Canis lupus familiaris: one gene and its partner. The protein of the gene in region 2 purifies or fractionates together with the protein of the main gene of each other region. This does not show direct contact. Links are inferred from orthologs where the notes say so. Each region holds a gene or a part of one and is shown on either strand. Other genes may lie near its edges. The genes, in order: ANKRD54 and BTK.

What was found.
Region 1: the proteins of BTK (region 2) and ANKRD54 purify together in Homo sapiens (affinity purification with mass spectrometry; 4 studies listed by BioGRID and IntAct, counting the BioPlex papers as one, with this or other methods). This does not show direct contact. The link is inferred for Canis lupus familiaris from reciprocal best matches to the Homo sapiens genes BTK and ANKRD54.

The regions. Positions count from the first base shown.
Region 1 is NC_049231.1:27,793,182-27,797,719, reverse strand, and holds the start of ANKRD54 (ankyrin repeat domain-containing protein 54), read right to left. Parts: upstream 2,873-4,538; 5' UTR 2,820-2,872; coding exon 2,498-2,819; intron 912-2,497; coding exon 864-911; intron 1-863. UniProt on the Homo sapiens protein: Plays an important role in regulating intracellular signaling events associated with erythroid terminal differentiation.
Region 2 is NC_049260.1:75,697,094-75,700,909, forward strand, and holds part of BTK (tyrosine-protein kinase BTK), read right to left. Parts: intron 3,731-3,816; coding exon 3,560-3,730; intron 3,035-3,559; coding exon 2,936-3,034; intron 72-2,935; exon of another isoform or gene 1-71. UniProt on the Homo sapiens protein: Non-receptor tyrosine kinase indispensable for B lymphocyte development, differentiation and signaling. Binding of antigen to the B-cell antigen receptor (BCR) triggers signaling that ultimately leads to B-cell activation.

The DNA of each region.
Region 1 (4,538 bases), on a different chromosome or scaffold from region 2:
TTGGGTTGTTTTAAACCAGCATGTTTGTGGTAATTTGTTGCAGCAGACATAGAAAACTAATATATGGATATGATGAGAAGCTTTCCCCTAGGACTTGTCCTTGTACCTCTGATGCTGCTACTCCCATCAGCCAATGGACACTGGAGAGCAACCATGCACACAAAAAAAAACCAGGGTGGTGTCCTGCTAGGAGCCCCTCTCATTCCATTTGGGTGTTCCGTCAACTAAACAAGTTTGAGAACCATTGACCCAACTACTGCAAAGCCTCAGTGAGCATTGAAGGTGGTGGTTCTGTTCGGGTGGTGGCTCTTCTGGCAGTTAAAGTTGACTGTTCGTTCCCATTAACCAAAACTTCTAAAAAGCTCCTACCCTGCTGCTCGGTGCCAGAGATACAAAAGCAGACATGGTCCCCACATCAGGGAGCCCACAGACTGAAAAACACTATGACATCAGGAAGTTCAGAGTGACAGGGAAGCATGGGAAGAGTGAGCATCTGAGCAAGACTAATGGGACACCTGGGTGGCTCAGTGGTTTAGCGCCTGCCTTTGGCTCAGAGCCTGATCCCAGGATCAGGGATCAAGTCCCACATTGGGCTCCCTGCAAGGAGCCTGCTTCTCCCTCTGCCTATGTCTCTGCCTCTCTCTCTGTGTCTCTCATGAATAAATAAATAAATCTTAAAAAAAAATAAGCCAGACTTATCTCTTGTAAGATGAATACAGTTACATGATATATATAGTGAGCCTAGTCCAGGGTGTGAGCTGGCATACTGAATTCAAGCACTGTCTTCCCAGGAATTGGTTGCCTGGATTTTTCTTTTCTTTTCCTAACCAGCCGGTGGGGCCAGACCTGCTTTGCACACTCACCTGTTTCCACGTCATTGGCATTGGCTGAGTCCCTCAGCCTCTTCAGAGCTGTGAAGAGAGCAAGAGAGCTCCAGTTAAAAACAAAATAAAACAGGAGCACCTGGGTGGCTCAGTGGTTGAGTGTCTTCTTTCAGCTCAGGACGTGATCCCCAGGTCCTGGGATGGAGTCCCATATGGGGCTCCCCGCAGGGAGCCTGCTTCTCCCTCTGCCTGTGTCCCTGCCTCTCTCTCTGTGTGTCTCTCATGAATAAATAAATAAAATCTAAAAAAATAAATAAAACAGTCATGATGAAGCAGAGAGTGGATGGCTTCCTAGTTGATCCACCATTCACCCACAAGAACATCTAAAGGGAAGGAAAGGCACCAGGATACAAGAGACGCTACCCTGGGAACAAGAAAAACTTGAAATGTATCACAGCTACACAGTGCAAAAAGCCACTTTCTGTAGCAAATCCTTCAAGGTCTTTGGAGCCAGATCTTGGCTCTGGCACTTAAAGTAGCTGGGTGACCTTGAGCAAGTTAGTTAAACCTCCTGGGCCTCAGGTTTATCATCTGGGAAAAAAAAAAAAAAAAAAAAAAAAAGGTTGAGCCCTATCCTGACAGCCCCAAGTTGTTGCAATTATATTCTCCAAAAGAGGCCATTCCCAAATAACTGAGTTAAATTTGGTAATTCCGAAGCAGAAACGCTTTTCTCCTATAAGGACGCTACCTCTGTATTAGAGAACAATGCCTTTGTCATCGGAGGGATGGTCAAAATTGCAAGCAGATACATTTAATGATTCCTTACTTCTGTATAGCCCTTTATGCTTTACACAGCACGTTCAAATTTTCATTTAATCTTAACAGCATGACTTAGATAAGGGTGGAATCACAGATAGTCCTAGAAGGGACACTAACATTTCCATTCTTAAATCTTTCAAGGCATTGGTTTCCGCGTCATCCCCAAATGTAAAAGACAATAGAGCCCACACACGAGCAGGAGTTTGACCTGGCCCATGTGGGTTGATGCCAGCACAGCCACTTTCTAGCTACCGGGGGTTGGAGCAAGGCAATCTCTCCGAGCCTCAGTTTCCTCTTCCATATAATGGGAACAGTATCTGGATCTCACTGAGTTACTGTGAGGACTGGAAATGAACACATGCCGGCCCAACAGTGTTTGGCACACCACCAAAGCAGGATAACCTGTACTGATTCACCCCCTGACTTAACTCCGGCAACATCCCCGTAAAGCAAGTATTGTAGTGGTTTACACACGGAAAAACTAAGGCTGGAAGTTTCTATAGTTTGCCTAAGGCTTCGAGGTAGAGGAGTCCAATCCCAGTCCGTGCAGTTAAAGGAGTTGCCGGAGCTTGGCCACAGGCTCCGGCCTCCCCCCCTCTTTGACGCTAAAAGCGTTCGCCCCAACACCCCCCCCCCCGCCCTTCTTTTTTTAATCTACTAAGAAACGCCTGGAGTCCTGAAAAGTTTCTGTTCAGGAATCCCCGAGCGCTTAAAGGCCGTCCCCTCCAGGTTCGCGGTCCTCGGTGCTCGCGGTCGGCGCGGGCCCGGAGCTCAGCCGTCCGCGGACCCGGTCGCGAGCGGCCGCGGCAGTCGGGGCCCCCGGGGTCCCGCCGCGGTCCCGCCGCGCTGCTCACCGTGCACCTCCTTGCCCGTGGGCCCGAGCCGCCGGTGGGGCCTGGCGCGCCTCAGCCGCCCGGCGGGGATCTTACGGCGCAGCTCGTCGCGGGGCTCCGCGTCCTGCTGCCACAGGACGTGGAGGTAGCGCAGCGGGGACTGCGCCCCGCCGGACGCCCGGCCCGAGAGGCCCGCGCCGCCGCCCAGCGCCGACCCGAAGTCTGCGAAGGAGAAGAGGCCCTCGCGGCCCGTCAGCGGCTCCGGCGCCACGGCGCACTCGCCGTCCGAGCTCGAGCGGCCCGAGCGCGGCTCGTCGTCCGCGCCCCCGTCGGCGGCTGCCATGGCAACGGCTCTGCGCGGGCCTGGCCGCGGGAGCCTCGTTCCGGGCCGACCAACCGACCCGCTTCCTCCGCCCTAAGCCTCGCTGTCAGCGGGCGAGCGGGCGGGCCGGGCCCGCAACCACGGCAACCGGGAGGGGGCGGGCTCCCGCCGCCAACAGCCAATCGGGCGTGGTTCGGGCGAGAGAATTGGTTTCCGGCGGCGTAATTGACGGACAGAACAACCAATCGCAAATATTAACCGCCCACGCCCTCACCGTACGTCGCCACCGGAGCCAATAAAACAGCTGAGTTTAGGACACTTTTTTTCTCTCTCTCTCTCTCTCTCTCTCTTTTTTTTTTTTTTTAAACTCTCACCAACTTCCCGAAAGATAACGGGCAGATGCTTTAACCAATCACCTCAGGGGAGCTGCAGCCAATCACTGAGGAAAGCGAAGAAGCCGCCCTCCAGGGATAAACAGGGCTACATTTTAAATCGCGAACGAAAGAGGGGGGTCTTCCCGGTGGAAGTGCGTAGTGTAAGAAAGTAAGAATGTGTCAACGTTTGGGGCTCTTCCGCAAAGGGGGGAGTAATAGCTTCTGAAGCGGAACGATCCCTTTGGTGAGGGTTCCAGTCACTGACTTACGAAGAATTTTAATTCAACGTGACTGCCCCACAGCGACGCCGCAGTCGGCGAGCCGGTCACCGAGCCAGGAACCGTGTGTCCAGGGCGCAGGCTCAGCCCCGCCGCCCGCGCCGCCCGCGGTGATGCGCACAGCCCACGGGACACGCAGGGGCTCCGCGCGGCGGACCGGCCCCGCGACCCCTCTCACCACCCGGCCGCCCAGCAGGACGTCCATACGCTGGACGAGGAGCGGGAGGAGCGGACGCCGGACACCAGCGACTTGCGTGCGGATGCCGCGCGCCCCGGACCACGGCCTGGGTCCAGGCGAAAGTTCTTCCTTCTCCCTCAACCCACTAAAAATGTAATCTTTCCCCTGACAGTTGAAAAACACCTTCAGAATTTGCGGTGCTCTCGGAACACCACCGTGAGGTTTCTCGTGATACTGTGTGGAGAAAAGCGCTGTTTTATTTGATCTCTGCCCCACGTATGCCTACTCCCCTTGTGGTTACAAGGAAACCGAGGAAAGAAATGAACACCGAACACGCATCGCTTACCAACTGCTTGATGTATTTTATATGATTTCTCCCTCACAAGAACCTTAGCAGGTAGATGTTATTATACCCACTTTGCTCATCAGGAAATTGAGGTCTGGAGATGTTATATGAACCCATGTACAGGATTAGAAAGAACTGGGATTTGAGCCCCTCAAAGTCCTCTCTTTCCACCATACTGTTTTCTTTAATGAAGAGCCTGCTGGGAACCTAGTTCCAGAAAGCTTAAGGGACATCTGGGTGTTTATACCTTACTCCTGCTGAATGTATCTGGAAATAACTTTATTATTCATTCCGTGTAATAACCTCCAAAGTTGTCTTCATCCCTCCAGCCTCTCTTTGTAGAATTCAAGGTGCATATGCTGGCTAAGGTACAATTCTTTTTGTGTCTGTAGGATCTGCCTACCCAGGTTAAAGTGCAAACCCGTTATTCTAGCAGTCAGCCGTTGTCTTCCGCCTACTAGTGGGTCCGGTCTTCGAGCAATCTGGTCAACTAAATATGTGTACATGTCACAATCTTTTCATTTGAACAGACTCTCTAAACATTTGGAGTTAATTGTTACTTCC
Region 2 (3,816 bases):
ATGTTAGGGGATCCCTGGGTGGCGCAGCGGTTTGGCCCAGGGCGCGATCCTGGGGACCCGGGATCGAATCCCATGTCGGGCTCCCGGTGCATGGAGCCTGCTTCTCCCTCTGCCTGTGTCTCTGCCTCTCTCTCTCTCTCTCTGTGTGACTATCACAAATAAATAAAAATTTTAAAAAATTTAAAAAAGATATGTTTTATATATATATATATATACACACATACACAATGGAATGTTATTCACTCATTAAAAAGAATGAAATCTTGCCATTTGCAATGACATGGATGGAGCTAGAGTATGATGCTAAATGAAATAAGACAGAGAAAGACAAATGCCATGTGATTTCACTCATATGTGGAATTTAAGAAACAAAACAAACAAGCAAAGGAAAAAAATGAGAAAGTCAAAGCAAGAAACAGGTTTTTAAGTATGGGGAACAATCTGAATGTTACCAGAGGGGATGCGTGTGTGTGTGTGTGTGTGTGTGGGGGGGTGTTGGGTTAAATAGGTGATGGAAATTAAGGAGCACACTTTTGATGACCACAGGTGATGTATGGAACTGTTGAATTACTATATTGTACACCTGAAACTAATATAATACTGCATGTTAAAAAACTAGAATTAAAATAAAAACTTAAAGCATAGTTATTGGTTGATGCATTGTTCTTTTTTGGATTTCCTTAGGTACTAGGAGTCCTTTGCAATCGCTCCAGAAGATTTTCCTGCACAGATAATATTAATTATTGTGGATTGTTTCCTTTAATCCAGTAGGCATACATATCATAGGATACATACATAGGATTCAGAACATACATGTTAAAAAAAAACCTCAGCCATTTCAAACCATTGAGGAAAGGGAGGTTACTCAATCAATGGTGCTGGGACAAATATTTAACCACTAGTTTTGGTGTGTGTGTGTGTGTATGTGGGGCAGTTAGGTGGCTATTTCACAGCATAAGCCAAAGTAAATTCTGAATGGATTCAAAAGTTTAATATAAAAATGGAACTATGAACGGACAGAGAAAAAAAACTGACCGTGTATATAATCTTATGGGAGACAAGACTTCCCAATATAATGCTAAAGGTTAGAATCATTAAGAAAAGATGAATTAATTTGATGACATAAATTTTAAAACCCAGAATGGTAACAATGAACAAGTAAAAAACATCATAAATAAAATTCAAAGATAAAAACTGGGAAAAATATTTTCAACATATATTACAGTTAAAGGATTAGTACTTTTAATATATCAAGATCTCTTAAAAAGTACTAGAAATAGGGTAAACATTCTAATGGAAAGATGGGCAAAAAAATGAACAGGCAGTTCACAAATAGAAAAATAGAACTGTAAGACATATAAACGTTCAACCTCATGGGCAACAAAAAATTGAAAAATAAGTCAGCAATGAAATACCACTTTTCTTGGCTGTCAAATTAACAAGCATTTAAAATATCTGATATTGGAAAGAATGTAGAGAAATAGAGATACTCTCATACATAGCTTATAGGAGTGTATGAAATTTAAATTATACTCCTATAAAATAAAATAGAATAAAAAGATAAACATAACCAAATTGTGCAGATCTAGTAAAGAGAAGAATAATATTTTACTTCTAGGAAGTTATTATAAGAAAAAGAATAGGAAAAGTACATAAAGATGTATGCAAGGATATTCTCAACATGTTTATAATATCAAGTTGGAAACAGATGTGTAGTAATAGGAGATTGGTTAAACAAATTGCAATATAAATCACGTTATTAAAATCACGTTATTAAAGAGTATCTATTGTCATGGGGAAAGTTTCCATATATCGTTAAATTGAGAAAGTAGATTACAAAGCAAGATGTGTAGTATGATTCTATGTTTTAAATATATACCATAGGGATGTCTGGCACACTCAGTCTAAAGAACATGTGACTCGATCTGAGAGTCCTGAGTTTGAGCCCTAAATTGGGTGTAGAGAGAGATTACTTTAATAAACTTTTTAAAAAGATTTATTTATTTCAGAGAGAAAGAGAATGCGAGTGGGAGGAGGGGTAGAGGGAGAGATTCTTCAAGCCAACTCCCTGCTGCAAGGGAAGCCATACACAGGGCTGGATCTCAGGATCCACGAGATCATGAGCGGAGCTGAAACCAAGAGTTAGATGCTTAACCAACTGAGCCACCCAGGTGCCCCTTGAGTAAATAAACTTTACAAAAATAAATATATAATATACTCTTAGTATGAATGTATGTGTTGCTAGTGGAGAAAAACATCTGTAAGTCTGTACACCAACATACAATAGTTATTTTAGCTGGATAATGGGATCATGCAAGATTTTATTTTCCTTATTGTGCTTTGTTGTATTTTCTAGAGTTTCTAAAATAATTACACATTACTCTTGTAATTAGGAAAAATAATAAATGACATTTTTTAAAAACTCGACTTAGAAATCTATAGCCATTATGCCTTGGAAAGGCTCTGGGAAATCAAAGGAGAATAAACAGTGAGTTGTTAAAGAATCTCATGACTCAGAGACCTAGAATTCTGGCTTTCAGACTAACTCAAGCCCATAAATCTGATCCTGGTATCTCAGAGAATAAAACCAATCATCTCTGATGAGTTTGAAAATTTCATATATTGGGGCTCTTGGGGGGCTCAGTTAGTGGAGCATGCAACTCTTCATCTCAGTGTTGTGAGGTTGAGCCCCACATGGGTTGTAGAGATTCCTTTAAAAAAATCATCGTAAAATTGGTGTTAGAATTTTCCAAGGTTAAGTGAGTTCTGCATCTGGGGGGAAAATGCTGAGATTCAGTATAACCCATATGTTCCAGAGTGAATAATTTTGTAAGGGAACTCTACCACATTGCATCACCAGTTTATTTATAGAGAGTTGAAGTGTTCCAAGTTTCTTAACCACCCCATTCCTGCTCTGACAATGGTCTCTACTTACTGGAATCTGTCTTTCAGGGGGAGGATTTTTTTCAGGAACCACTGTTTCAACGCAGGTGATCTTCTCAACATCTATTGAACCCTTCTTACTGCCTCTTCTCTGAGAAAGAGAATGAGGAACAAAATGGAGAAAGATTAGGAATGATTAAGCAACCAGATGATTAGATTTTGTTATCTAATCATTCAACATAGTGAGGTGACACCCACGTTCTATTCATCAGAACCTGTCATTTTGAAAAAAAAAATACAACAAAACTTCCAGATCTATTAATCTAAACTTTTTTGACTATCAGAGGGCAAATACTATAGAAGAGTGGATGACTGTGTGTGCCTTTACCATAAAAAATGAAGAATAATTTTCAAGACGTGGATTTCATTCTCAACAGCACTTAATGAATGATCAGTTGCAAGATTCCATGGTAAGATTGCCCCCATGGCTTCTTAGCACCTTTGAATTTTTTGTGCCAACATGGCTGTAGTTAGTTCTAGGCTAAGAAACATTTTTCTGAGTTTGAAATATACCTCGATCCCTACCACCTCCCTCCTCCAACCAAAAATATCTAGTCCTCAAGGAAGATCTAAGGCTAAGTCCTTGATATTCAGGTTTCACAGCAGAAAAACTTACCCCACGTTCAAAGTCATACTCATAGTAGGAAAGTTTGTGCATAGTTAAGAGAAAGAGGCGCTTCTTGAAGTTTAAAGGTGATGTTTTCTTTTTCTGTTGAGATCGCTTCAGAAAGATGCTCTCCAGTATCACTGCAGCCATAGCTTCTTCTTTCTGGAGCTCACTTGTGTGCTGTTGATAATGAAAGTTCTTGAGGACCCAGCACATTATTCCTTATCCCTCCTGGTTCCCTCTCAACCTGACCACCTAGTTTCAAA